Lepisosteus oculatus: one gene and its partners. The protein of the gene in region 3 purifies or fractionates together with the protein of the main gene of each other region. This does not show direct contact. Links are inferred from orthologs where the notes say so. Each region holds a gene or a part of one and is shown on either strand. Other genes may lie near its edges. The genes, in order: ncbp3, rbbp6, cpsf6 and srpk2.

Evidence for each region.
Region 1: the proteins of cpsf6 (region 3) and ncbp3 purify together in Homo sapiens (co-immunoprecipitation; 3 studies listed by BioGRID and IntAct, with this or other methods). This does not show direct contact. The link is inferred for Lepisosteus oculatus from reciprocal best matches to the Homo sapiens genes CPSF6 and NCBP3.
Region 2: the proteins of cpsf6 (region 3) and rbbp6 purify together in Homo sapiens (affinity purification with mass spectrometry; 3 studies listed by BioGRID and IntAct, with this or other methods). This does not show direct contact. The link is inferred for Lepisosteus oculatus from reciprocal best matches to the Homo sapiens genes CPSF6 and RBBP6.
Region 4: the proteins of cpsf6 (region 3) and srpk2 purify together in Homo sapiens (affinity purification with mass spectrometry; 3 studies listed by BioGRID and IntAct, with this or other methods). This does not show direct contact. The link is inferred for Lepisosteus oculatus from reciprocal best matches to the Homo sapiens genes CPSF6 and SRPK2.

Annotation. Positions count from the first base shown.
Region 1 is NC_090721.1:10,765,916-10,773,224, reverse strand, and holds the start of ncbp3 (nuclear cap-binding protein subunit 3), read left to right. Parts: upstream 1-4,309; 5' UTR 4,310-4,356; coding exon 4,357-4,539; intron 4,540-5,121; coding exon 5,122-5,187; intron 5,188-5,951; coding exon 5,952-6,057; intron 6,058-7,309. UniProt on the Homo sapiens protein: Associates with NCBP1/CBP80 to form an alternative cap-binding complex (CBC) which plays a key role in mRNA export. NCBP3 serves as adapter protein linking the capped RNAs (m7GpppG-capped RNA) to NCBP1/CBP80.
Region 2 is NC_090714.1:11,894,600-11,902,291, forward strand, and holds the start of rbbp6 (E3 ubiquitin-protein ligase RBBP6), read left to right. Parts: upstream 1-4,692; 5' UTR 4,693-5,670; coding exon 5,671-5,836; intron 5,837-6,709; coding exon 6,710-6,809; intron 6,810-7,315; coding exon 7,316-7,352; intron 7,353-7,692. UniProt on the Homo sapiens protein: E3 ubiquitin-protein ligase which promotes ubiquitination of YBX1, leading to its degradation by the proteasome.
Region 3 is NC_090702.1:23,479,120-23,486,922, forward strand, and holds the start of cpsf6 (cleavage and polyadenylation specificity factor subunit 6), read right to left. Parts: upstream 3,004-7,803; 5' UTR 2,954-3,003; coding exon 2,894-2,953; intron 1-2,893. UniProt on the Homo sapiens protein: Component of the cleavage factor Im (CFIm) complex that functions as an activator of the pre-mRNA 3'-end cleavage and polyadenylation processing required for the maturation of pre-mRNA into functional mRNAs.
Region 4 is NC_090702.1:48,123,954-48,131,028, forward strand, and holds the start of srpk2 (SRSF protein kinase 2), read left to right. Parts: upstream 1-4,074; 5' UTR 4,075-4,332; coding exon 4,333-4,348; intron 4,349-4,595; coding exon 4,596-4,662; intron 4,663-7,075. UniProt on the Homo sapiens protein: Serine/arginine-rich protein-specific kinase which specifically phosphorylates its substrates at serine residues located in regions rich in arginine/serine dipeptides, known as RS domains and is involved in the phosphorylation of SR splicing factors and the regulation of splicing.

The DNA of each region.
Region 1 (7,309 bases), on a different chromosome or scaffold from region 3:
ATAAGATATTTATAGCCAGGAAATGCAACTCACGAGACAGGGGAGCTTGGAGTCGGTGGAGGCAACTAAGCCCTGAGATGAGAAGATCTTTGCCTGGACACAACAGAGGAGCTGGAGAGCACAGCTAAGAAGATATCCCAGAGACCTGACAGAAACATGTCAATACTGTCTGACGTCTCTCCCAGAGGACCCTCCAGTTAAACAAAGCCTGTAAGTGTTGTGCAGAGACTGTCCGGCGGTCCCAGAGGGCCACAGAGGTTGTCTCTTGGGGACCCCTGGACACTCTCAGAGGCCCTAGAGGACCCCTGGACAGTCTTTGAGGGCCCTAGGAGACCCCTGGACAATCTCTGTGGCACTAGGGGACCCCTGGACTTGTGTGAATCGCGGGGTGTGGAGTCGCTGTTCCTTCCCTGGCAACAGAGCCCTTGTCAAACCCATCCTCCCGAATTTCTGTTCTCTGACCCGCCTCAAAATTGCCTCCTGGGACAGTTCTGCGCTGTTTGAAAGTTTTGTTTTATTTTCCTTTGCAAAAAAAAGCCCCCAGCTGTAGGGGCTGATGTTGAACTCGGGACTCCTGCGTTGCTGGTTATGGAGCTTGCAGCTGAGCAGCGCTCACTGCTGTACCTGGGTCAGAACAGAGCCTGCAGGCAAGCACAGCACAATTACAGGCAAGCCAGGCAGTGCATAAAAATAACAGCTGCCAAATGCTAACCTATGACACTACAGATACACAAAACATAGCTTCATATTTAAAACACAGGATATGTAAGAAAATGTCTTTTGAAAATTGTGAAAAAAGTGCAATACAGGTTTGACTGTCTACAACTTAATAGTTCAATTCCCCAACGGGTCCTTTTCTTTTTTTTTTTGCTCAGCTTTGAACAACATTTCTAACAATTTGTTTCCATAAGTAAATTTTCTTACAGTTATATTAACATTCATGAGGATGTACATTATGAGAAACATAATAAATGTCACCTGATCTGTCTTGAATTGGACCTCAAATCAAGGCCCAAGGAGACCCTCCCAGTTCAGATACTGTAAACAGTAGTAACACATAAAACCTTTAAACGCTACTCGCTCTCTTTAAGGTCAATTCACAAGAAAAAAGTTCAAAAGTTTAAAAAGTTAAAAAGTTCATTTTCACACAATTGCTCTTGCAAGTACTCTGAACCGACGCCGTTGCTCCTCTGAGAGCAGTTTTGAGACGCCTACAGGAAACTCACGGACGTGATTTCTACCGTATGGATAAGCGAATGACGATCCATCAGCTTGTTAACGTGAGATTGAGTTGCTGTAACTGGTTTGCCACAGATGCCACAGCTCAGTCCCCAGAGATCCTACTGCCCTGTCCTGACATGGGGACTTAAGGCTCATGGGGCCTGAGCTGGATCCCCTTTTCAGACATTTGAAGTGCCTTCCATTTGGATCACTTGACCCTTCACCAGTAACCAAGATAATAGGGCTACAGAAATAAAGAGTCTGGACCACAGGCGAAGCATCTCGAGGTGTCTGCTAGTTCTACAAGGACATCCGGAGAGGGAGCTGGGCGTTATCAGCACTCACCATCACGGCAGCACCAGAGCAGGGCTGGGTGTCCTCAGAGGTCAGGGTTTGTCAGCCATGACATGTGCCTGTGTCACTCAGACTTTGCGGAAGGGGGTGCTGGACTCTCTCCAGCTGCCATTAAATCAGGAAGAGCCTTATAGGGCACTGGGGCCAGGGGACACAGTATCTCCCCCAGTGCTGCCCACGCACACACGGCCGGGGAGCTGTGTGATATGCTTCTTCTGGGGAGGCTGGAGCTGATCATGTTACACATGTGACCACAGGTGACACAGAGGCCCGGGGGAGTGCTGTGCCACTGGGGTATCAGACACCAGTATCCATGATCCACACCCAGCAGCTCCCAGAGACCCGATCCCAGCTGGCGGGTGCACAAGGGGTGAGCCTGGAGGGCAGGCGGGTTTCTGGGAAATTCACGAGCTCGGGAAGGGGGGGTGGGGCCGCTGGCTGTGGGCAGGGGGAGGCCAGCCGGAGACGGGGGTCACTCAGCTGCCCCTCCGGCAGCACGCTGTAAACTGACGCGCTGGGTCACAGGAGGCACAGGTTTCTTCTGACGGAGTGGAAAATCGGGCGGAGCACCCTTTAGAAGTCCAGCGCTTTCACTGCCTGTCAGCAGCGCTAAATGATGATCACAACCTGAGCCTCCTCCCCACCGCCCATAGCAGCCATAGTGCGCCAGTCCTCTCCCCACACACCAGCTCTCAGTGGGGAGGAGAGCAGAGTGATGAAGCCAGTTCAGAGATGGGGATTATTAGGAGGCCATGATTGGTAAGGGCCAGGGGGAATTTTGGCCAGGACACCAGGGTTACACCTCTAGTCTTTTTTGAGAGACACCCTGGGATTTTAAATGACCACAGAGAGTCAGGACCTCAGTTTTACATCTCCTCCGAAGAACGGCGCCTGTTTACAGTACAGTGTCCCCGTCACTATACTGGGGCATTAGGACCCACATGGACCGCAGGGTGAGTGCCCCCTGCTGGCCCCACTAACACCTCTTCCAGCAGCAACCTCAGTTTTTCCCAGGAGGTCTCCCGTCCAGGTACTGGCCAGGCTCACACCTGCTGAGCTCCAGTGGGTTTGCCAGTTGGGAGTGGCAGGGTGATACGGCTGCTGTCTGTGTATTGCAGACTGAGCCTCTGTGAACAGCTGAATTGCCTGAGCAGGAGGTGGCCTGTTTCCCAATTCCATCCCCACTCTCCCCTGAGGTCCAGAGGGAGGGATTCTCCACCATCTGGAGTGAAGCGCAAACCGGGTAGTGAAAACCTGGAGCAGGCTGTCCAGTCCTGGTGCTGAAATGCCTCCAGAATGAAAAATGAGGAACATGATCAGGGCCCTGCTGTCTGTATCATGTTGCTGAAAGGTTCTCCACAAACGCCAAAATCAGGCCCCTTCACACGGCGACAGCACGACTGTCCCGCGGGTTACTCTCACGGGACACAATGAAAACCTACAGGGAGACGCCGAATTCGAGGAACGTGAGAAAACACACGTGGGCGAGCGGCGCCACCTTGTGGACGCGCTCGGGAGCGCAGAGGCTTTTCTGAAACGAAACGCCGGCTGTGACTGTGACGCTCAGGGCGGACCGGTACCGTCGCGGTCCGCCTTGACCTACAGTCCGGACAAAAAGGGGAGACCTTCCTCGCGTTCACGCGTGGCGTGGGCTGCGGAAGGCTTTTACCCCAGGAAGGGATGTTGCCGGCTCCCTTCCAGCCGGAGCTGGAGTTCACGCTCTGCTCGCCTCGACATCCCTGTCCGAGCCCCATCCACGCACACTCGCGAACCAGGGCCCGAGTCACGCGGGGGACCACCACACAGCACCGCTGCCGTCGCGCGAGCACACTGCTCTGTGGCCCGAGACACGCGCCCCTTCACCCCTCGACTTGACACCTCGTGCTGGCGCGACGCCGGACACTGGACACCGGACACTGGACACTGGACACCGGACACTGGACACTGCGCCAGGCCGCTTCTAGTCTGCCCGTTTGTGGGAGTTTGGTTTTCCTTCGGATTCTGAATGTGGGGAATTTGGGAAACAAAGAGAAAGCTAACTAGAGTTAAAATTATAAAAGCCCAGCGGAAAGAGATAGGCAGAAAATTAAGTTACGCCGCCTGGACTCCTTCTGGCGTTCAAGCACACAACAGAAAGAAAAGCAATATAATCCAGGCTGGGCAAACGATTTTTTAAATTTTTAGAAAATAAATAAAAAATTAGATATAATGATGCGTTCCTTAACATTGCACTACTTTAAAACCTATAAAAACAGGTTTCGATAGTTAATAACCACTTTTTATGCGCGAAAAACGGGTGATTTTGCTTCCTCGTGATCAGCCAGAATCTTTGTGTACGCCGTACGGTTTTTACTTCTTAATTAAACGCTTAAAATACACGAATTTCATAAAGACAACACATCACAGAAATGAAGATGGCGAGTTACAGTTAGAACAGACGGCCGGCGCTTTGTGAGTCACTGTTCAGATTGCTGTTGGCTCAGTTACTTAAAGGCGTAATCATTCATTCTAGGATTGGAATTCATATATGTGCCCTGTCACTGTTGTTAAATCTTGTATTAAGAGTATTCTTTCTGTTCGTACCACTAAACTACACTCCTTCAGTTTCCCGGTTCGCAGTTTGTAAATGGGTCGAGGGCTCCGCCGTGCTGCCGCCAGTCCCCGGCGCCGCCGCTGGGTGGCAGTGTCGCTGCGGCGACGCGCTGTGCCGAAGGTGCCGCTCTCTCCCCCTTCCCGCTGTCGTTGGTGCGGCCGCTCTGTTTGGGCTGAGGCGAAGGGAAGATGGCGGCCGTCCGAAGCTTGCAGGTCTCGGTGAAGTCAGAAGCTGGGTCCGATCGCTCAGAGTCAGATTCTGAATCCGACTCGGACCGGGATTCCCGCGAACCGGAGCCAATGGAGGTAGAAGAAGGTGAACTGGAACTGGAGTCCATTCCGGTCCGCCGGTCACTGAAGGAGCTGTTACCGGTAAGTAAGGCCGCGCCACGACCTCGGTCCCCAGTAGAGAGCAAGGCCGGGCTGGCGTGGCTGACCAGGGGGGTTACAACGTTCCAAGAATCGGTGGTAACAACTGCTTAATGACAATGTTGTCCTGCTGGTTTTGCTTTTTTTCTGTGAAAGGAGCAGTTAAAATTGTGGTATTGGTGTCTCGAATGTTTTGTAAATAGGAGTGTTAATGAGATCAGGTCCTTTTAACTGGGCTCAGGGATTATCGTGTAGTTTCAGTTTTGTCAGAGTACTTGAAGCTTTAGGAGCAGATCGAGTCTGAAGCACAGCCTTTCCAGAAATGGCCACGGGATGGAATCTTTTTCCCAAATGTGTTTATAATCGGTGTCTCAGAGCGATGAGGTGCTGGTACCTTACCTTTATGACTAGGGGTTGCGTCGGAGTGGGTTGGGTCTATTTCAAAATATTGAACTTTACATTGCTTATTCCCCTTTATCGTACTGTCGAAAAGCTCCATCCCGCCTTTCCTGTTTTGTAAACTGCCTTTTGGAGGGTCGGGTTGGGTTTTGTCGTGTTGAACTCAGGGCTGACGTTTCTCAACAGGACACCAGCCGGCGCTACGAGAACAAAGCTGGGACCTTTATCACGGGAATCGATGTCACCTCAAAGGTACGGGCATCCTTGCTCTTTCCGTGCCCTGCGTCTGTTTCCTGCTCCCTGGTCTGGCGGCGCTGTGGTCAGTATTACTGCCTCGCAGCGCTGGGGCCCTGGGATCCGTCCCCGACCCGGGGTGCGGTCTATGTGGAGTTTGTATGAGTTACCTCGGATAGAGTGTGTGTGTGTGATTGCCCTGCGATGGACTGGAGTCCTGTCCAGGGCGTATCCTGCCTTAAGCCTTGCTGGGATAGACTCCAGCTCCCCTGAACTGGTTGAAGCAGTTAGAAGACATCGCTGGTCCCTGGTCTTACGTCTCAGAGCTCCAAGTATTAATGAAACAGTCAACATCCTGGTTAACCCCAGTGTCCTGGCCAAATTTCCCCCTGGGCTTTACCCATCATGGCCTCCTAATAATCCCCCTCTCTGAACTGGTTTCATCACTCTGCTCTCCTCCCCATTGAGAGCTGGTGTGTGGGGAGAGGACTGGTGCATCATCCAGGTGGGGCTGCACACTGGTGGAGGTGGAGGGGATCCCCATTACCTGTAAAGCTCTTTGAGTGGAGTGTCCAGAAAAGCGCTATATAAGTGTAAGCAATTATTATTATTATTAATTAATCAGTCCTGTAGCCCCGAGTCTGAATGGGCTCCCTCCCTGTCCAGAGCGCTTGGTCCGCTCGTGGTTCAGAGTCCTTGAGCCCAGACGTGTCCCGCCCCTCCCCTCCTGGCTGCGGCTGTGGCGCAGGGATTGCGTAACATGGTGTTCCAATCTCTCGCAGGAGGCCGTAGAGAAGAAGGAACAGCGGGCCCGGCGGTTCCACTTCCGCGCCGAGGTCAACCTGGCCCAGAGGAACGTGGTGCTGGACCGGGACAGGATGAGGAAGGGTGAGTCCTTCAGCTGGGCTCTGTGTGCTGGCTGCAGCGCGCTAGTGTGTTACTGCTCACAGTTTAGATCAGATCAGATCACTTCATTGGTCATATACAATTGCTTGTATCAGGAATTTGTCTTCACATACCCCAGCTTGCTCTCCATAAGACACACAGACAGGGAGAGAAGCTTGGGGTCAGAGCGCAGGGTCAGCCATTTATACAGCGCCCCTGGAGCAGCAAGGGTTAAGGACCTTGCGCAGGGGCCCATCCGAGTAGGATTCCTCTGCCGGTCGCGAGATTTGAACCGGCAACCTTCCAGCCACAGGCGCAGATCCTGAGCCACAGAGCCACTGCACCGCTTCACCGGCTTAGCTGCTGCCTTAGAAATACAGTCCTCCCCATTCGTGTAAATAAAGCCCACCGTTCCTTCTTTCTTTTAAAAGGGTAACAGTGTGAAAGTATGTAGATGAAGAAAGCAGGGTTAACCAATAGGGTACAGTTTGTGTAGAAGCCCACTACGAGGAGCAGAAGTTCTAGTAACTGAAACGACAGCACCCTTAGGAAAGAACTGACTGATGCATTCAGTGCCGGATTGTGGTGTCCGTAGGCCCTGGGCACTTTCACTCTGAAATGTGCAAAAAGAGGGTTGAACGCCAGTTGACACGATGCACTTTAAACTGTTCTAGTGCTAAACCACCTGATTGATGAAGCAAGCCGAGCGCCCATCACTTCCATACTTCTAGTTTCTAGAGCAGTTGCTAGAGAGCGCATGATTATTGATTTGGAGCATCTGGAGTCGATCGCAAGCACGTTGTTTCAGCTCGGTTTTTGTTAGTCACTAGTGTTTCCCTCCTTCCTAGGCCCTGGGCACTGTGCCTACAGAGCCTGATGGGAAATCCGGCACTGGATGCGTTTCACAAAGGCAGAGATTGTAGTCTCTGCTCAGACAAAAGAATGATGGGAAGACAGTTTGATACACGCAGGAGGGGAACGGCATAAACGGGGAGCCCACAACCTAAAAGAGCTGCCACCAAAAGTTTTTTTTAAATCCACCCTTGGGATATTCCTGCATGTGGAGCCTTAAGGATGCGGTAGCCTGGATTGAGCTAAGGGACCAGTGCTGCGTGAAACCTTAAGCGTCGCAGAAAGAATTTTAACAATTCATGAGAGACGCAGACAAGAAGGCACTGCAGAGAGTGGCCAGCAGTAAAAAGCCTAGTGAGTTGAGGGTCTTCAGCCTTCAGGCAGAGAATTACAACCGTCTGCT
Region 2 (7,692 bases), on a different chromosome or scaffold from region 3:
AAACACACCGGCGCTGCCCGTGATGTCACTGGATCCGCCTCATGACATCATCATACCTTCCTTTAGATCTGATTTACTAGAAAGAGTTACAAATGACTAACTGGGACCACAGGCTCTGCCTCGATTTTCCTGTACGGTGAGCGGCCAGCTTATTCCACTCAATAACCACGTTTTATTTTATTTTTGAAAAAGCCTCTTAAATGCTTCATGCCGGGGCGGCCTGTCCAGCTGGGCCTGCAGCTCCACCTGGTGGCAGAGAGGGCACACAACACCTGGACACCACCTGCCGCTGACTCGCACAGAACTCGCTCGACCGGACGAGGCTCTTTCAAAAACCGCAACTGCGCCGGCCACGTTTTGGGCTCCAACTGTGCATTCAGATCGATCAGTGGAATACCAGACGAAGCCAAAGTAAAGAGCACAAGATTCGGGACCATTGAACAGTTTTTACTATTTAGGTCACCAATATTCACTCCCGGCCCCAGAGAGCCACAGTATCTCCTGGCTTTCATTCCACCCTGGACTCTTAATGACTGGACTTCATTTTCCCACATGATTCGTCTTCATTACCAGTGTTCCCAGGTTGTTTCTCGCTGACCTGTAGAAGCTGGTGAACTGCAGCCCTCCGGGACCAGGAGTGAAGATTTAGCTCTGACCTGCAGTTCCTGCTCCTCCCACAGCCTCAGCACCATGCTGCCCCGGTCCCTGGCCTCCACCAGAGCTTCATACACCTTCTCCCTGCAGATACGTAAGTATTTACAAAAATAGGAAAACTGCACATCACACTGTATCCCTCCCCTGCCCATACACACACATCCCCCTGGGCTGAGTACATTGCTACTAATCTTCTAAACAAAATGTACTTCGCTGTTTAATCTCAGTTGGGCTCAAAGTGCGCAGTGGAGACACACCTGGCTCAGCAATAAAGTTCAAGCAGGGAGAAGGGGGGTGGCGGGAGACTTCAGGAGTATTGACAGGGTGGACAGTTACCAGCTGGACGAGGGTGGACATGTTGAACTGTAGACAGACTCCTGATGGCTGAGGTGCCCGCAGGCCCTGGCACACAGCAGCAAGACAATAGGCAACTTAGCTCTCTCAAGCCTTCCACTTCCAAATCTGTAGCCTAATACCATCCACACTTGCAGAAATCAGCTTTCTGCAGCTCACACACCAAAACTTTTCTCTGCCTCCAACAACTAAAAGCAGCACAACCTCAGCCTGTTATGATCATTGCAAGTCAAGAAACCGGCCTTCCGTTATCAAAGCCGAGGAGCAACACTCACGTATCGATCCACAGCCAGGGTCTGGAGAATCACAGCTCTGCAGCTTTTACATGCGACGAGGAATGGCCAAGGAACAGACATCTGGAAAGTGTGTTAGTGCCTCCTGATTACGCCATTCAGTGCTCAGCTGGTCTATAGGACAGACTGAGGCCGTTCAGGGCTAGACATAGCTGGTCTATAGGACAGACTGAGGCCGTTCAGGGCTAGACACAGCTGGTCTATAGGACAGACTGAGGCCGTTCAGGGTTAGACACAGCTGGTCTATAGGACAGACTGAGGCGTTCAGGGCTAGACACAGCTGGTCTATAGGACAGACTGAGGCGTTCAGGGCTAGACACAGCTGGTCTATAGGACAGACTGAGCCCGTTCAGGGCTAGACACAGCTGGTCTATAGGACAGACTGAGGCGTTCAGGGCTAGACACAGCTGGTCTATAGGACAGACTGAGCCCGTTCAGGGCTAGACACAGCTGGTCTATAGGACAGACTGAGGCGTTCAGGGCTAGACACAGCAGGTCTATAGGACAGACTGAGGCCGTTCAGGGCTAGACACAGCAGGTCTATAGGACAGACTGAGCCCGTTCAGGGCTAGACACAGCTGGTCTATAGGACAGACTGAGCCCGTTCAGGGCTAGACACAGCTGGTCTATAGGACAGACTGTGGCCGTTCAGGGTTAGACACAGCTGGTCTATAGGACAGACTGAGGCATTCAGGGCTAGACACAGCTGGTCTATAGGACAGACTGAGGCGTTCAGGGCTAGACACAGCTGGTCTATAGGACAGACTGAGCCCGTTCAGGGCTAGACACAGCTGGTCTATAGGACAGACTGAGGCGTTCAGGGCTAGACACAGCTGGTCTATAGGACAGACTGAGCCCGTTCAGGGCTAGACACAGCTGGTCTATAGGACAGACTGAGCCCGTTCAGGGCTAGACACAGCAGGTCTATAGGACAGACTGAGGCCGTTCAGGGCTAGACACAGCAGGTCTATAGGACAGACTGAGGCCGTTCAGGGCTAGACACAGCTGGTCTATAGGACAGACTGAGGCCGTTCAGGGCTAGACACAGCTGGTCTATAGGACAGACTGAGGCGTTCAGGGCTAGATGAAGCTGGTCTATAGGACAGACTGAGGCCGTTCAGGGCTAGACACAGCTGGTCTATAGGACAGACTGTGGCTGTTCAGGGCTAGACACAGCTGGTCTATAGGACAGACTGAGCCCGTTCAGGGTTAGACGAAGCTGGTCTATAGGACAGACTGAGGCCGTTCAGGGCTAGACACAGCTGGTCTATAGGATAGACTGTGGCTGTTCAGGGCTAGACACAGCTGGTCTATAGGACAGACTGAGGCGTTCAGGGCTAGACACAGCTGGTCTATAGGACAGACTGAGCCCGTTCAGGGCTAGACACAGCTGGTCTATAGGACAGACTGAGGCGTTCAGGGCTAGACACAGCAGGTCTATAGGACAGACTGAGCCCGTTCAGGGCTAGACACAGCTGGTCTATAGGACAGACTGAGCCCGTTCAGGGCTAGACACAGCTGGTCTATAGGACAGACTGAGGCCGTTCAGGGCTAGACACAGCTGGTCTATAGGACAGACTGAGGCGTTCAGGGCTAGACACAGCTGGTCTATAGGACAGACTGAGGCGTTCAGGGCTAGACACAGCTGGTCTATAGGACAGACTGAGGCGTTCAGGGCTAGACACAGCTGGTCTATAGGACAGACTGAGCCCGTTCAGGGCTAGACACAGCTGGTCTATAGGACAGACTGAGCCCGTTCAGGGCTAGACACAGCTGGTCTATAGGACAGACTGAGGCCGTTCAGGGCTAGACACAGCTGGTCTATAGGACAGACTGAGGCCGTTCAGGGCTAGACACAGCTGGTCTATAGGACAGACTGAGGCGTTCAGGGCTAGATGAAGCTGGTCTATAGGACAGACTGAGGCCGTTCAGGGCTAGACACAGCTGGTCTATAGGACAGACTGTGGCTGTTCAGGGCTAGACACAGCTGGTCTATAGGACAGACTGAGCCCGTTCAGGGTTAGATGAAGCTGGTCTATAGGACAGACTGAGGCCGTTCAGGGCTAGACACAGCTGGTCTATAGGATAGACTGTGGCTGTTCAGGGCTAGACACAGCTGGTCTATAGGACAGACTGAGGCGTTCAGGGCTAGACACAGCTGGTCTATAGGACAGACTGAGCCCGTTCAGGGCTAGACACAGCTGGTCTATAGGACAGACTGAGGCGTTCAGGGCTAGACACAGCAGGTCTATAGGACAGACTGAGCCCGTTCAGGGCTAGACACAGCTGGTCTATAGGACAGACTGAGCCCGTTCAGGGCTAGACACAGCTGGTCTATAGGACAGACTGAGGCCGTTCAGGGCTAGACACAGCTGGTCTATAGAACAGACTGAGGCGTTCAGGGCTAGACACAGCTGGTCTATAGGACAGACTGAGGCGTTCAGGGCTAGACACAGCTGGTCTATAGGACAGACTGTGGCTGTTCAGGAGTGGGGCTAAACAGACCTGGTCTATAGAACAGACTGAGGCTGTCTAGGGCTAGACACAGCTGGTCTATAGGACTGACTGTGCCTGAAATCTCCATTCTGGGAGACGTCACTAACTTTGAGGAGCACCTGTTTGGTTTGAAGAGTGTGGGGGGGGCAGGGTTGGTTGACAGGTAAAATCGCAGCAACAGATGTTGACGAGCTTAACTGCAGCACATTGCAACTCAAGAAAACCGAGACCAGTATGAAGCTGTTTAATATATTGTCATACATTAAGAACCTGGTGTTAAACTCTGGACATTTAGTAATGGTAAAAGTAGTATTTCCACTAACATTACTGTATGTATGATTTCTTTGGCGTTGCACGGTAAAAAATAAACTATGCAGGTCATACAAGGAGACACTAGAATTTGAGACACTTTTTCATTTTTCACTGCTGAGGTTATTACACGACAAAATAATGCAAATATAAAATGCAAAATAATGCAGTGATCTTTTCTGATTAATCCTATTTTAGGTCTAGCTTATTGCTGTATTTCGAAATTTTTATTTTCGTACTTAAGTGGAAAAATCCGTTTACATTAGTCCTTTTTCCATTTTTAAACGAAATTGTCCTATTTAGAATAGTATTTTGTAAGAACGAAAAAGTAAGGACTGAGTATATATGCATTATGAGAGGGTTTTCTTTTATTCCATTATATCATCTTGTTAAATCCTGCAAAAAAAACAACTGTTTTGAGGGCTCTCTTATTAAACCTGTTTTTCTTTAAAAAGTTACGGTTGAATGCGGTTCAAACCTCACGTGACCCGCGGGCTACACACGCCGGCTACGCCAAACGACGTAGAGTCCGTTCTTGTGACGCAGCGCGTTGCTATTATGACGTCCCGCTGCGTGCCCCGTGCGCTTGCTTTTGGAAACCCCTGAGTGTCCGGAGGCGCCGCCATAGTGACACAGAAGGGAGCGGAGAGGGAGCGTTGTAGATTTTCGAAGAAGCGGTCAACAGTTGTTAACTTTCTTCTTGTGAACTACAGCCAGGGGATATAGACTGTTATTTCTTTTTTTTTTGGTGGGGGGGTTGTATGAGGGTAGATGTGTTTTTGTGAAATACCGTAGGGTTATGGAATTGTTTGTATTGCCATACGGAGCCGGCGCTGTTGATAGCCGTCTTTGTTTTGGTGGAGAGAAAGGGAGGCCATTTTAGGCCTCGCTCTCTCTTTTTTTTTTTCTTTTGTTTCATTTTCGACAGTGGACTGAACGGATCCTTCTTGGGAGTGAAGGAGGGGGACTGCGCACTTCCGTTTATCGTTCCTAAGCCTGGATCAATCCTATTTTCGCTTGCGCTGTCGTTTCGGACTTGTCGGATCAGCCCCGTGGCGAAGCCAGAGACTTGGCGAGCCCGCCCGCCATGCCGGCCTGTCTGCGCGGACTCTGAAGCAAACCGACGCCGCAAGGCCCGTTTAGAGACCGCGGCTGCGGGACCGTGCGCCGTTGACGGTTGGATGTTTTTTAAGCCAGCCTTTGCCGAAGAAAATTCATTTGGACGTTTTGTCTGAAGGAGATCTGGGACCCCGTGACGGGGGGTGGGGGGGTGTTCTGAATTATGGTGGACTTTCAACATCTACTCGTAACATTGCCGTATGACTACTAAAACTGATGGTCTTGTGCTTGTTGTGGTAGCGCCCGTTACGTTACAGTAACTCATGATTTCAATTAAACCCGTTCATTTAGCTGATCTGTGCTAGATTCTGTGGCTCCGCGGATGTGAAGCGTAATGCCATATCGTCTTCTAGCGAGCGGAAAGGGCACATTATCTGACACACCTGATTGTACGTTCTTATTTTGTTTCCCTGTACGAACCAGGGTAGTGTAATCTGCTATAACAATGTCTTGTGTCCATTATAAATTTTCTTCTAAACTTAACTATGACACGGTCACGTTTGATGGCCTGCACATTACGCTGTGTGACCTGAAGCGGCAGATCATGGGCCGAGAGAAGCTGAAGGCTGCGGATTGCGACTTGCAGATCACTAACGCGCAGACCAAGGAAGGTAAGACAGTCACTCGCTTCGAAACGCGCAGCGTGGTCGTCTTGGCTCTGTGCCGAGCGTGTGTTTGGATTTGTACTGTCGCCGGTAATCGGTTAAAAAAAAACGGTCATCGCCGTTTTGGCTTTGGGGGTTCGTGTTCGGAGCTGGCGTTTCAAGCGAGCCCGCACCCGAACTTGCGGGTCCCGTCCGAGTTCGGAAACGTCTCCGATACACGTGTGGCACATCTGGACCAGTTTGAGCCCGCTTCCTCTTAGATCCGCCAGGTATCATTACTTGATTTAAAAAAAAACAGCACCAGGAGGGGTAGCAGTGCTTTTTCCAAGTTGCATTTTTTGATCTGGTCGGAATGGCGATCGCACGATCGCTTGTGATATTTGGAGACGGGCTGGGGACGGGGAAAATGGCCGGCGGGTCGAAGAGGTGGATTGCAAACGTCCGGGCCTAGCGGTTGTTGTCCGTGGACATGCTCCGCCAGTGACCCCTTCAGGTCGCACTTGGCCGGGACTGAAGGCATCCATTTTGTTCCCTTGCCGACAGTTGTCAAGTGCGCGACAGCAAACGCGCTGTAGATCTTGCAGTTCTGCTGGGTGAGTTGTCTGGTGAAGTCTAGATGTGCACCCTGTGGGTGGTGCGTTGCTAAGAAAATGTTCTCGCAAGGTGGTTGTCGGCACCTTTATTCGGTTGTCTGATGGTCTCAGGGACAGGCCCAAAGCACAACCAGAGAGTGGTTTGATGCACTTGTTTGTAACCATCAGTAGTTTGCAGTCACTTTATTCAAGTATTTCCAGAGTTGACTTCAGGGACCACGTTCTTTTGAGTCTCACAGAGCAGTAGGCGCCGGTATTCAAACTATCCTGTTGTTTGGTTCCTCAGAGTACACTGACGATGGCGCCCTTATCCCCAAGAATTCCTCCGTCATTATCAGAAGGATTCCTATTGGTGGGGTCAAAACTGCAAGCAAAACATTTGTCATGTAAGTATGGATTTCCTTTGATATCAGTGGGAATGAGACATTCCATTTTGGGGGATTAAAGCCCTAACCCAGTTTTGATTCGACTGGGTAGACGTAATTTGGTGTGTTTTTGGTGATTCATGAATTGGCAGCAGTCTGGCAGGTAGTGGGATTAAATTTACCAGTACACGTGCAAAAAATGTGTTAAAGGGATGATCTCAGGCTGTGATTAGTGATCATCTTGAGTGCCAGTAGTCTTCATTTGTGGTTTGTGAAACATAAATTGATCTCTTTAGTTTATTGGGGAAATGTTTTACAGCGATGATGGTAAATTGTTCTATTACTGTCCTCTGTGGGCAGTTTACCAATTCTCTTTGGAGTCTCGTTGAAAGTAGCTTACAACAGCTTTTATTCGTAAGGCTTTCTGTAGTTTGCACTGTGATTTTTCATGAACTGGACTGATCTTATAAGGAGGCTGTGATAGAAACCGTCTGAAGATAATCTTTTTCTTTTCATTTGCTTTCCAGTGATCGTTCTGAACCTCCAAGTGGACCTTCAAAAGCAGTATGTAAAAAAACAAACTCACAATTTCATTTATTTGTTAAATATATTTTATTCTAGTCATTTAAGCACATAAGTGTGTATCTGAAATTCAGAAAAAAATGTTTAAACTTCCTCTGATGTGAAGTGATAAACATCTGGTAATAGTTTGTTGTAACACAATGTATTTTGTGGAATGGTTTACCTTTTTAATTTCAATATTTGCACATTTGTTTAACCTGTGTGTAAATTGGTTTTTGTGCAGGTTAATGCACTGTATTTGATATTCAAAAGCGGGTGGAGTATTGCCTACAAACTGTTGTACAGATCGATGTATGATCGCTTAAGATCATGTTGGCAATGA
Region 3 (7,803 bases):
CACTGGGCAGGGCATGTCTAAAAGAACCCACGTTCGACACCAAATGTTTGAACAGGCCTCTTCACAAGTGACTTTTCAGATTTCTGAAATACTGACAGTAAACCAGAGTGAACTGAGGCCTACCAAAGTACGCACGTCCAGTTTGAAGCAGTCACTGTCTTATATGAAATGCAGTACTAATAAAGACCACCGGAAGGATAGTAATGTCCCCTGTGGACATGGTATGTCCTTTCCCAGCACGTTATTCTGACCTACAGTATTTCTGTCTTCATGCGATACACCCCTTCCAAAAAAGCAGTTTGCTGAAAATCAGGCCGGATGTCCAGCCTTAGGATTACCGCGCCAGGCCACCTGTCATCTCGAGTGTGAATATGCCAACGCAAATGCTGAGCCTTCATCGGATTTTACTAAGGACCAGCAGCGTCGAGTCCTAGTCCCCCAGAATATTGTTAGCTGCAAAAGTAAGATGTTTAGAAGGCATGAGTTTCTATAGTGTGGCAACGACATTAACCCTGTCAAAAAGCCCTGCTTAAAAACACCCGCCTCACTCATGACCCCCAGGTCCAGCCCGTTGTAACATTGTGCTTCCCTGTTCGCCGAATATCTGCCATAACCAGGAGGGCTGAGCTGTGAATATACAGAAGCTCTCCAGCTTCCCAGGGCTGAGAGGGCAGTGTTTACAAACCTCAGTGCAGGTGAGGCCAAAGTCTGCACAAAGACTAAGGAAGGAGTACCACCCCCAAGGAAGGAAAGAATAAACAAGTGAAAGGACAATTTAGTCTCTGATCAGCCTTGGGATCGAGTCTGGGGTAGGGGTGGGGGGGTGTTTACAATGTGGAGGTTGCATCTCCCCCCCCCGGAGCTCGGCGACGAAGTCGCCCATACGTGTGCACCCTACTATAGACCTGCAAACCCCCCAGAGCTCGGTCTCCACCTTGTGACCTTCGCTTCCAAGAGTCCAGTCTGCCACAGCTCTCACCACCTTTCTGAAGATGGACGGACAGAGGGAAACTAACCCCGCTGCCCGATCTAATTCCAATCGCGGCGGAATGCAATAAATGCTTAACTATAAAGCACCCTGAACAAAGTTTTGACTTGTGATAATCTGATGAGTACTGGACACTGCGTAAGTGTATCAGTGTATTATTCAGTCCCCCCCACCCCCCAAAAGAACGAATACTCTCCATCCGCCACACCCCAATAAAATTGGAGGCAGCACAACTCGATAACACACGGAAGTACTGCAGTACCAAAACGCAACACACTGCTAAGAATGAGCTCTGCACTCCGAGACCTAAATCACCGCCACCGAGGTGGGAACGCACTTCAATCGCTTTCACGCTTTAGAAGCCGCAGGCGCGCAAACCATCACGACGTACCGCACATTTTAAAAATGTCTTTTCCCAGCACAATTATTCACCCAGATGCGCCCGGCTGAAATTATACACTCTCGGAACTCTTCGTACAGTAACTTCGGGGATTCAGCTCCCGGCGCAATTGGGATCTCACAACGAACAAACACAAACCTTAGATGTTAAATCTGAGGGCGCGGGACGCAATCAGAAATCCCCACAGTACACAGTCCTTTGAGACCGATCACTCCTGGACAGTGTGCATGAAAATTCTTTTCAGAAACGGCCTGGGCTGATGCCTACATAACCTAAACCACTAACTGTGAGAAGTTTTAAGATGACTTCAACGACAGCAGGTCTGCAATTGAAACCCGTACAAAAACTACCTTGATTTTCTGGTACCGAGAACAATAGCATTTTGAAAAGCACGCCAACCCAGTAAGGAAAGTCACGATTTCAAGTTAAAGGCTGTAATGAGACGCTTCAAACGAGCTCTTAGCAGACAGAAAACGCCCCCCCCCCCCAACTCCGTTCCAAGTATTTAAGAAAGACCCCCAATTTAATTTACAGCTCACAGAACAAATCTATGCAACAAGATTCTCAGTGCGATCGCTGCAAACGCTTAATGAAAGTTAAGACGAAAATGTGTCTCAGCAAAAATAAGATTTGGGTCTACTTTATACGTTGCACAAAAATACTTAATAAATGTTGAACATGCAAATTGAGTATCATGCATTCCGAAACGTGCGAACAACCGAAGAAACGCCAAAATAATTTTGAGCACATCTTAATGTGTCCATGAAAGTATTACACGCTGAAAACATCACCCTCAGAACTAAACAAAAGGAAGCACGAAAATGTCAGCGGCGCCAAAAATTATCGCAATTAATAAAAACGGTGCACGTGGTGTTTACGTCGCAAGAGTGCTATATTTTAAATTTCGTCAACATCACGTTACGTCTGAGGGGTCATATTACACTGGGATCGCTTACAGCTTCAAAGCATGCAAACAAAAACAAAAGGTCAGCTACACGCACCGTTTTAATTCTAGCCCTGTGAATACTTAATGCTTTAAATGAACGGTGATCAGACTCCGGCGAGGCGGGAAGGGGGGGGTATTTCTAAGCCCGGACATTTGCTCCCCGAGGACGTGCACGTCCCCGCGCGGCTCACGAGCAAGGCCTCAGCCCGCGACACAAACAATGGAAGCGCTCCCACGCGCCGCGCCGCCCGCCGCCGCCGCCGCTCGTTCTCTCTGCTCCTCCGGGAAACTCCGGCGGGGCGCAGCGCCGAAAGACTGGGCTCACCTCCCCCGGCTCGTTAAGGGCACCGAAAATCCAGGGTGCTGGGCCCTTCGCTTATATAACCCTTTAATCTAAAAAAAAAACACTCCCTCGAGGTCTTTCTCTGAACAAAAATAGAAATCCTTTCTATAAAGGTGCATTAAACAAACCCAAACACGGCTGTCCTTTTTACGGTCTTCCAAACGAAATTGCAATTCTGCATTACGCACCGAGAGGATAACAATAATGCATGCTCACCTGATTAAACTCCTCGCCAACATCCGCGTAGATGTCGATGTGATCCACACCGTCGGCCATTTTCCACTCTTACCTCCTCCTCCGACTGGCTTGAACCAGAATAAAACTGCTAACAGGAAAACACTGCGCGTCACATCCGACGGTCGGCCAAACACAGAAGAGAGGAGGAGGGTGTAAAGACTTCGGCTCTTTTTTTTTTGACTAAGCGTAACAAGTTGCTGCTTTTTAACTTGGTTACGATAACAGAACTTCACAAACTATTCTCAATTATGCAATTTAGGAGATGTCGATACCGGCTCGCTAAATATTCTCTTTAGGCAAATCAAGGTCATAGTGTGAAATTCTGGAAAATTATCTAAAATGCACAGTTATAATTATTAATTTAGGTGGCGCCGTTAATCCAACATGTACATGCAAAAATGTACACGTGAACGATAAAATATGAATAACATGATAATAAAATGATGTGATAAGAGCACACGACCCACATAATCAAATATACAAAATAAGAACCATTTTTAAATCAGTTTTACTAAAGCAATAATACCACAATGCACAGGGACAGATATTATTGTATACTGTATGTAATGGGCTCACGAATTCTCCAGTAGACCTAACAGTAACATTCCACACAGTCGTATAAGCACTATCGTGTGGTACAGTTCCTTTCTGGGGTACAATAGATGACGATTCTTAAAAAAAGGTTCGGTTATTTTAATGTTTCATAATACATGAGCGCATGGATTAAAATATTGATCGAATTGTTATGGAATATTGGTGTCAAGACTTTACAGGCAAATTTATAATAATCTATAATTTGCACAGCGGTGTGTAGTGAAGACTATCGTACAATCTTGTGTCCAGCGATTGTAGGATCGATTCTAAAAATACATCAAAGAAGTAACGAGTTTAAGTAATTTTTCCACAAGGTGGTGCACGGTGATCATGGACATCTACGGCCAACATTTTCACATTTGTTCGTATGTTCATAAACGGACCCCTTTCAGGGCTGTTTTTTATAAGATCACTTTATTAGCCATATACAATTTCTTGCATTACGAATTCATCTTTTCGCATACCCCAGCTTGCTTTCCATGAGACACACAGACATGGAGAGAAGCTTGGGGTCAGGGCTTACTATTTCAAACATGACAGAGCGAAACTCTTTGTATTTTGAAGACGGCTTTTGTACATTTCACCTAAAGAATTTATCGTGACCTAATTGCCCATGGTATAGTTTCAGAGAGTCTAGTTACAGAAGACCCTAAACCCTAAAAATTATGATCAAGAAATCCAGGAGTCGAGTTAATTTGCACCTGGGAAAATATCGGTAAATGTAGCACAAAACAAAAGAGGTGTAGTCCTGCTAGGAATCTCAGAGCAGTTCCCTGAAATAAGTGCCCCATTATTTGCAAAATGCAGATTTTGACAAGTGTGGGATTATCTGAATAATTTCTGCAATGGTGCTTTGTCTGTCATATACCGTCTATGTTGCTGCAAAGCCAAAGATTTGTGCAGAAGGGGGTATCTGTATCTATATTAGATTGTAACAGAATCCACAGTCACAAGAATGGGTTACAACAATACAAATGCACTGTAATACACTGTAATAAAGTGTTATACATAATATGTATAAGAATAATGTCAATAGTTATTGACAATAACATTTCTTTCACGTTAATTAAATACTGTACTTCTTCATCCTGCCAAGGTTTCTTGTTAAATCAATCTAAAACTAATCTAAAATAGAGGGTGTGAAAACGTCTTTCTTTTAATTCTATAGATGATTCTATAGATGCTCATGTACACCCTATATTTTAACTTGGGCTAGTAAATTCAATTTAAAACTGTATTTTCTGGGATGACTGGTTATTAAGTATCTTTATAAAATATATTATAATCAAAAAAGCATACTTTAAGAAATTTAATTTGATACACATTAACGATTAGCACTGGACACTGTTAGATAAGGTTAGTGCCAATACTATGTATTCTATTGAATACGACTGTAACTGTATTCTATATAGACCTACAATGTATCACTTGAAATATCTGTTAATTTGACTATCCATTGTGAAAATCTCTTTGACGTCATACGGTACATCTGGGATTGGGATCATTAAGGTTTGATGCATTTTGCACTAACATCATGTAGAGCATTGGCTCAACAGTATAAAGAATAAAGCAAATTAACTAGATATAGAAGAAAGTGTTGAATTGGACGGCATGTGGTTTTTTTTTTACAATAGAGAAGCAGACGAGGTAGTCCAGATATCTAGATTGAATTCAATTCTGTCTCACACCAAGCAAAAATCTAATTCTGGTTAGGATGAGATTCAGATGGGTGATGTATCAAACCCACTAGCAGTTTTGAATTAAGAAATTTTAAGAAAACTGCCAGGAACATGAGTCATCCTATTACGGGAAACATTTAAACCACAGTGAGGGAGTGAAACTGGAATTATATCAAGAAATACATGACATGTAACGGGAACAAATTCACAATTACCAAGCAAATGACAAACCCCAGACATTAAATAATTTTAAAAATATATATATATATAAGTGTATACACAGCATCCAAAGAGTCGCAACAAATTCAGAAAGTGTCAGTTAACTGATAATGTTTCTTGTAGCAGCTGTACTAACATTTTATTGAAGAGACAAGACAGGCAAATTCATTCTGCTGGTTAATACTGGGCATCAGCAGGACTGAACACCAGGAGGGTCCTATTGTGCATGTTGTAGTCTAGTAGAGTATGTAACCACTTCTGATGTGTGGCACATACACTGCAACAGGCTGCAGATGTTGTCTTGTGGAATCCTGTCCCATTCCTGTCCTAGAGCCTGAACAAGCGTGTACTTTGGTCTCTCTGCCCTAGACGCCCAATGTCATCTCTGTCATCATCCTGCAAACTGCCAGTGGGGCTCAAGTTGGCAGAAGGGCTCTGGAGCACAACGGTCACATTATGGTCAGGAAAGCCATTATCACGAGGAGCGTGGGAATATGTTCTGCTGGAAGTGCTGTCACTTTGGGATGAGCTAGCAGGAAAGGCAGCACGTGAGGACCCAGGACTTGATCAATATAGCGCCTTGCAGTCAGGTTGCCATCAACTACTGTGCCACACTCACAGGCATCCATCAGACATTGTGCTCCACGTAGATTCATGTCTGAAGAGGTCTTGACTCCACAGCTGCTGAGTTCATCTGAGGCACACAATCAGCTCATCACCTGTGTCCAATAAACTCTTTCACTGAAGAGGGGATTTAGTGATTATGTAACAAAGTCACTCAAAATAAGATCACTTTATTGGCCATATAAATTTATTGTATTAGGAATTTGTCTTTTCGCACACCCCAACTTGCTCTCCATGAGACACACAGTACAATACAATACAGTACAAACTCAGTGAAAAACAGGTACACTAACACATCTCCAGAATGGAAACGAACCCAGGACTGCGCTTTCTTAAGGGTTTAATGGCTTAATGGTTTAAAAAATAATTGTATTAATATCCCCGTTAAAGATAGCACCTGTCTTTTTCAGTTCCCTTTTTTTCCTTTGTAAACAGACATGGTTCGCAAAAAGAAGCTTTTTTTCAAACAAGTTAAAGCACTTGACCAAATGCAATAACGTCCCACGGACAATAAATGTTTCTCCCTTGAAATAAGGTGACGTAGTGTCTGCCACTATCACTGCAGCCACCGTCATAAAGAAGTTTTTTTACAGGCTGTCGCAGACTGAAACATTAAATTAACTGGTGATGAATAATTCTAGCAAAGCAGTCTATGTGATTTTGGAAGACCGTCGCCTCTGGTACCGTGGCTGCAGATCTTTGCACATATACTCCACACAGACGTAACGTCAAACGTCCAGGACGTTTCTCATTTAATTGTTTAAAAGCAGAACAAAACTCAATTTTTCTTCTCCAAAATGAACTTTTCTAAATCGTGTCCACTGCGCCCTCTAGTGGTGTTCCGCCTGTCACCACGCAGCATTACAACGGTCATTTTTAGAACGGGTATGAAAACAGCAAGACTTCAATTTACGGAAAAGACAAACATCAAGGAAATAGTAGAAACAAGCCCTTTCGTCGCGTGATTCCATTTGTATCACACCCTAAAAACAGTGTTCAGAAAATAACCTCATGTTAAGAGGACAGAACTGTAGAATTGAGTGCAAAGTTGGAACACTGTTTGAGTCTAGCCCATCCGAGGATCTCCTTCCAGCTGTTTCTTGTCTTCTGTTTTCAGTACACTTTCACCTAGTTTCTAAGCACCATGTAGAATAATGTGTGCATGTGTTCTGGTACAATTAATGAATTTTACTAATGCACTCTTCTTTTTTGTTGTTGTTGTTCCTTATTGCTATTTAGCTAGTCATCTTTGCTTTAGGAAATTCTATGCCATGTTCCTCCAAATACATTTTTTTCCAGAAACCAGGACTCAATGTTTAATGCAGCATGGGCACATTTTCATCTATAGCTGGAGAGGAGGTTGATACCCCAAACATCTGCTGGATAACATATGAAAATAACAAGGCATTAAACAAAGCCAGCTACATCACTGATGGAAATGACAGCACTCCAAAACCAAACACCAGACCTGAGACGGGACAGGCATGTCTACTTTCCCATAACAAGTAGAGTAATATTTCGATAATGCTTTACTAAATATCAGCGTCTACTGTACTTGAGTGCTTTGCTAAGAGATATACTTGTCCTTGTGGTACAAACAGGCCTGTTAATTCACATAGCAGGTTGTCCAATGAATATACCCTCCCAAACAAAAAAGCAGAACAACAACAAACAGTTTCAAAAAGAGTCTCAGAGATGAGCTAACAATAACCGACATCACAACCTCAAGCAGCCTACTTCGAAGAACAATAGGATCTATGACTTTTCATAGCT
Region 4 (7,075 bases), about 25 Mb from region 3:
GTATTTTACCATCTGACCTAAAGACCCATTTACACAGCAGATGTGAGCAAAGTACCTCATTCATGGGCAAGACAGGAGCACCCCACTTGGGATCTGAACCCGCAACCCCTCTGCCATTCCCTGGCATTTCGGTTCTTGCCCAGCCGCAGGTCTGGTCCGGCTGCTTCCTCTCTGAGCTGGGTGTCAGGGGAGAGTCTTCAGTCAGCCGACTACCAAGAAACTCCAAAAACAAAAACCAAGCACACTGGGCGCAGGGGCTGGGATCGCACGATGAGTGTGTCTGATCCAGCCGGACCGAGCTGATGCAATCGTGCGTATGACGTCCATGCTCATGCGCTCTGGCTGGGGGTTAGGCGGCGTGTGAAGTCTGGTGGTATTTGTCTCACGAAGCTCCCGAACATAAGAACGGTTACAAACGAGAGGTAGGTAATTGATCCGAGGATCTCATCCAGCTGTTTCCTGAAAGAAGCCAGGGTATCAGCTTCAAAAACATGGGTGGATATCCTGCTCCATACTCCCACAACCTTTTGTGTAAAGAAAGTTATAACTCTCAGTTCTCTGTGTTCAATGCACTTCCATCTGTATTTCCACTTGTTGTCACGCCCGACATCCCTCCCTAGAGGGCGCTCCACTCGTTATTGTTCCTGTAATTGTTGCTAACTCCCCAGGTGTATCTTGTTATGTGTATTACTTAAAGACCAGCTCCTCCAGTCCTCGGGGCTCAACATTAGGGTACGGATGTCACGAGGGCCCCCTGGCACCAGGATACCCTACATCCGTCTCCTGAGGGCACAGGCCTCATCCCCGACACCTCCCGCTTCCTGAGCCCGGGGTCTGGAGGATCCCGCCCCGTCACCCTTGGACCTCTGTGTCTTGTCTCTCCGTGTGTTCCCCCCTTCCAGGGATTTTAACCTTGTCGTGTCCCAGGATGGATTACTCGCCGCTGGACTCCCGGACTGTGCCCTGACCTGCCTTTGGACCTGTTTTGATTTGGATGCCGTTCTTTGTCTCCCCCGTTCACTGTCTCACGGACTGTCACTATTATTGTGCACTATTAAACCCCTGTGTGTTCCCTTTTACCACGCCTGCTGTTTTCTCCAGCTCTTACCGCATCGCATAGGGTCTACCACAAGACCCGGCACGGACTTCTGTCAAAGCCTTTAGAGGAAATTTAAATACTTCTAATTTCCCCGGACAGAGGCCATTTACGTGGTGGACAGAATGACCCTATGAGAGGACAGCACTGTGCAGAACTGCAACCAGATAACACTCCCAGGTCACAGTTTCATCCGACAATAACTAGGAGGCCTGGCACAGAGGGAATACTGGCTGGGCTGGGACAGAAAACTCATGCCACGTGGCTCAGCCAAACTACACAATCTGAGCTCATTTTCAGGAATTATTCTGAGCTACACAGCTTCATCTTATCAATGAGGGAAGGACCGAGTGAGTGCACGCCTTGTCTGAACTGTTATTACTAGCTCTGCTGAATTGCCTGATATGAAGTCATTTTTTTCCATGACAACATTATGATTATTTTTAATAGCCGAATTGCCGTGGGCAGCAATAATACAATAGAATGCAGTAAGACTGGAAAGCGGGCTATTGTAATAACCCTGCACTATGCTACAATAATATTTTTATTAATTCACTTGAGTAATGTGCTTATCCAAAGCAACTGATGTCTGGACCAATTTATACTGTAATATGCAGCATTTTTACCTACTGTTTTGCAGTTAGGTCTTCTTGCTTGGTCACTTTTTAAAATCACATGGTCAGAATGATCATTTCTTAACTAGTGGATACTCAAATCTACGTGCAGCCTAAACATGACACTGAAGCAGCTGTCTCTGTGCTCTCTAATTGCAGCTCTGACATAAAATACTGGATGACCCAAAGTTTTCTTCATTTAAACTGCAACAAGACTGAAGTGATTCTTATCAGCACCTCAACTACTGTATCCAGGGCCAATTCAGTAACCCTACATGTGGACGGCATTGTGCTTGAATCTCAGTAAAAAAAAAAAAGAATTTGGGGTTGTTGACCTTTGACATACATGCGCAAAATATTGTAAATATATCATTCTTCCATCTTAGAAATATTGCCAGAACACATTTTATTTTTTGTCTCTAAATTAACAGCAAAGCTGGTTAACACATTCATTTTTTGCAGAAATGATAACTGCAGCTCCCTACTCACTGAGGTGTCTAGATCCACACCAAACATACTTTGGTATGTCCAGAATTCAGCACCTGGAAGTTTGACCTGGTTGCGTGCAAGTGATCACATTACTCCTGTCCTGGAGGCCTTGCACTGGCTTCCTGGCAGGTTTCGTGTCGACTTCAAAATCCTCCTGCTCACCTAGAGGGCTCTGCATGACTTGGCACCTCAGTACCTGTCCGATTTATTATCTTCCTACTCCCCACCTCGAAATCTTCGTTCATCTGATTCTGGTCTCCCCTTTCTTCCCCAAGCGCGTTTACACTCCACAGTTGACAAGTCCTTCTGCTACGCCCCACAGCTTTGGAAATCTATCCCCAAGGATAGCAATGCTGAAGTCCAGACTCAAAACCTTCTTGTATTGAAAGGCTTGTATTGAATTGGTGTCTGTGTTTGCTAATGGCGTCTTCTACTGCATTTCTAATCCCTTGTGTTGCTTTGTGCTAATTTTGTTATCTCCTTTGTTGCTGTTTTCATTTGTGTTATCTGTTTTTTTACTGTTCCCCTAAAGTGCTTTGAAAAGATACGGTTAAAGGCACAATATAATAATAAGGATGATGATGATGATGATGATGATGATTATTCAGATGGGCATTACATTAAAGTAGCCTGAGGGATACAAAACAAAAAGAAACAAAACACCCCTTCTTCTCCTTTTAATAATAATAATAATAATAATAATAATAATAATAATAATAATAATAATAATAATAATAATAATAATAATAATAAATACAACTACATGTGTGCTGAGTTCTTCATCCCAAAGCAGAGACCCACTTCTTTCACCCCTGAAGTGCTGCCTCACCTGGGTGATGTGCAGCTCCCATTTTGTCCCAGCAGCCCCAGGTACACACAGGGCGGCAGGTAGAAACAGGTTCACCAACTGAAGGAAAGAGGCACTTGAAGGAGACAGGATCGTGCAGCCACAGAACCGAATTTGTCCACAGCTCTTACAATTGCCCTATAATGAGAGCTTAGTCAGGACCACAAGTTTAAAGGTTTAAAAGGTAGAACAAAATGATAAATATAAATCCTGAAACAATACAGATGCCCGATTTCAGAGACTCCCACACACTTTTAAAGGCCTTTATGTGGAGAGTGTATGCCTTTTGGCACTCTGTGTTAGCTTTCCGCGGAAGAAAAGTGAATGGGAAAGAAAGGAAACAATTGTATCTCCTTTTGATGGATTAGAACTGTTAATCTTCTTGGATGTCTTTTGTTTGGGAGCTCGAATCTCTTTAAAACCACAAGAACTAGTATTCCCTCAGTGCGTGGCTTCCTAGTTATTGTCGGATAAAAGACAGACGTTGAATCCTCACTGTATTGTGTTGTTACTCTGACCTTTATTAAGCTTAGTTCAGGTCGTGCAGTGTATACAATGATTCAGCACAACTACACCTCAAAATCTGTCCTCACCGCTGTACTCTCACGAACTATAGAAATTAAAAATCCAATACACCGCCCTCAACACAACGATGCAGTAAATTAGAGTAATACCGCGCAATATTTTAATCACAAACAGCACATTACACTTTATTCATTTATTTTCAATTGTTCCTGGACTTCCAGAGCTACATTAATTGAAATACAATCTCGGAGCACGGGACCTTTTGTAAATATTGGAGATCACATGGCAACACAAAACGGGAATACTGCTCTATTTTTTTTTTTCATATATTCACTTTGCGGTTAAATCCAAGACTGTGGTGTGAACCGCTGTTTTCGGACCGCGGAGACTAACCGTTCGGCGCGCGGGTCGCCGTTACCACGAGTAACTGACCTGCCTGCGTCATCGTTTTTGTTTTGCGGGCCACAACGATCACCTCACCCGTCACCTCGCGCCGGGGACGCGCGCCCAAAACAACCAACCGCTGCTCTCTCTCCCGCTGCACCTGCCTCGGCTCAGGTAAGCCTGCGCGCGCCCGCGACGCTGGGTCTTGACAGCGGAGCGCGCCCCCGAGTCCCCCCTGTCTGGCTGGGAGGAGGGTGCGCGCCTCCCGACGACGGCCGGGGGAGCGCGCATCCCCGAGAGAGGCGGTGAAGGGAAGAGAGAGACGGACGGAGAGAGAGATCCCGGCCGCCTTCGCCGAGGTGGAGAAGGATACCAACATGAGCTCTCGGAAGGGTAACCGGCTGTCTTTCTTACGCAAAGCCTCGGGCGTCCTGGGCCGGGCTGGGGGGGCAGGTTCGGGGGGCTCGGGTGTGTTTGTGCGCTCCACACGGCGGTGGTGGCGGCGGTGCGGAGGGCGGGCGATGCTTTTGAAACCGGCAAACTGATGTGTCGCTCTTGTCTGTCCGTCTCTCTCTCTCTCTCTCTCCCTCCCCTGCTTCTGCCTGGCTCCCGGGTCGCCCTCCCGCGATCCCCACCGCAGTGCTGGCCATCCAGGCCCGCAAGCGGCGGCCGAAGGGGAAGAAGGACAAGGCAGCCCATCAGCGGAGGTAGGCAGCGGTCCGGGGCTGCAGGGCGGCGGCGGAGGCGCCCCCTCTGACAGCGCTGACAGCGGGAGAGGGGGAGCTGACACTGGCACACTCGGCGCACAGACGCGATGGCGGAGCGGGGGGGGTGTCGTGGTGCCCTGGGTGCCGAGGGAGGGAGCGGGGTAGCGGCTCCGACTCCTCTTCCCGGGGCTGCCCGGCCGTGGTGTCGGAAGTTGCTATTGGCAACGATCCGCAGCCCCAAAGGGGGGGGGGGGAGGACGGTGGCTCTGGAGCCGGCGGGACAGGCTGTGCCGCGTCTACCGCTGGTGCCAGCCCGCCCAGACCACCTCCTCGCCCGGGCGCTGGGCTGCTGGAGCCGGACCGGGCTGTGATGTGAGGTGATGTGCAGTTCGAGCCCCCGAGCCGAGTTGCTGCCCTGCTGGTGGTTCGGAGAGGGGGGTGGGGTGTACAGGGCTCCGCTGCTGCAAGACGAGAATTGACTGACGTTGACATCTATCGTTGGTGCGAGAGGTGCGAGAGGTGCGAGAGAGAGTTTCACCCAAAACCGGCTGGGTGGGGGCGGAAAAAAAAACACTGAATACGCAAGCGACGGTAACGTAGCAGCTCTAGCGGTGTGCCGGTCCCGTGTTTCTGAATGCTTCCGCGTTCAAGAGCGCCTGGCCGCCGTGCCGAAGCGATGTGATGCTGGAGGCGAGAGGCGCTCTGCTCGCGCGCGCACAGCTCGAGGCTCCGCCACGCGCGGGACCGGGGCAGGGGAGCCCGGGTGACGTCATGGTCATGAGCTGGCGTCCCACCCCCACCCGGGGCTGACACGGCGCTGGCTGGGGCAGAACGGGCTTGTGAACGGGATCCCTGGGCACAGCGTCTGTCTGTGCAGAGGCTCCCAAATCCTGCTCGCTGGAACCTCGCTGTTCGGGCCTCTGCGCGACCCGGGGGCTGTCAGTTCGACTCCTGAAGTGAACTCCGACCTGAACTCTTCATCTGCCTGTTTGTTGGTTGTCTGCTTGCCTCCAGCTTTCCTGATTTCGCGCGGGATAACCCGAAAAACGTGTAGAAGCCATGAGAATTTCTTTGAATCCCGTCGAAGTGGATTCAGCGGGGTGGGAGGAAGAATTCGACAGGAACCCTAACCCCGCGGGCCCTGCAGAAATTCCCCCCTCGGGGAGCAGCGAGGGAGCAGGGCTGCTCTGTTGTCCCCTTTACTCCCCTTAAAGAACAGAAACAAAATTCCTCTCCTGTTATGAACTGTCATGAAAAACCGAGGTCCTGACTCTCTGTGGTCATTAAAAATCCCAGGGCGTTTCTCAAAAAGAGTAGGGGTGTAACCCCGGTGTCCTGGCCAATTTTCCCCCTGGCCCTAACCAGTCGTGGCCTCCTAATAATCCCCATCTGTGAACTGGCTTCACCACTCTGCTCTCCTCCCCACTGAGAGCTGGTGTGTGGGGAGCGTTCTGGCGCACTATGGCTGCCGTCACATCATCCAGGTGGGGCTGCACACTGGTGGAGGTGGAGGGGATCCCCATTACCTGTAAAGCGCTTTGAGTGGAGTGTCCAGAAGAGCGCTATATAAGTGTGAGGAATTATTCTTCTTATTATTCTCAGTCGGTACCCCCCCACACACACATGCTCACACTCTACACCCCTTCTGAAACCAACTCTTGCAAAGACGCGCTTTGTAGCTCCGGTCCAGTTGTCTTTCCTGCACGGGCCGGCGCGCCCACACCCCGCGCCAGCCAGCTCCTTCCCTCCTGCGCGCCACCCCCTGGGATGGGAGCGGGGCTCGGGGTGAGTGAGCCGCCTGTGACACTGCAGAGTGTGTGTGTGTGTGTGTGGGGGGCAGGTGTAGGTGACCAGGAGGCCAGGGCCTGGACGGGGGGGGAGAGGCCGTCTGCTGCTGTCATCGATGTCCTGGTGGTCCGAGCGCGCTTGCCTTTCTTTAAACTGCCCCTCGGTGAGTCTCCAAGAGTGGATACCTGCCAGGTGGCTTTTAAAACTTTCAACCGGAAAAAATGGGCAAAAAATAAAGCTTCAGGAGGACCCCAAAAAAAGGAACTGCTTGATTCTGAAGTGTCTGTGTAGCACGGGCACATAGCCGTGTCCCAGCTCACAGGAGTTGGCATTCGTTTAGCTTGTGCACGTAATAAGTGTTAATTAACCGCAAAGACGAGTTCACTCAGGTTTTCTCGCAAACCTATCTATGGGCAATTATTTTCTTGGAAGTGTGTTGTGGATGTGGGATGGCATCCCTTTCGGAATATAAAGTTCTGTCTATTCAGAACTTGTTTCCCAAGCGGCACGCCAGGGTGAATTAAATTATGCGGATTCACGATTCCCTGTTTTCTTGCGCAGAAGCTCGAACTAGTGTTCTACTCCCATGTGTTTTCCCCTTTGATCATATCGTTTCCTCTGCTCT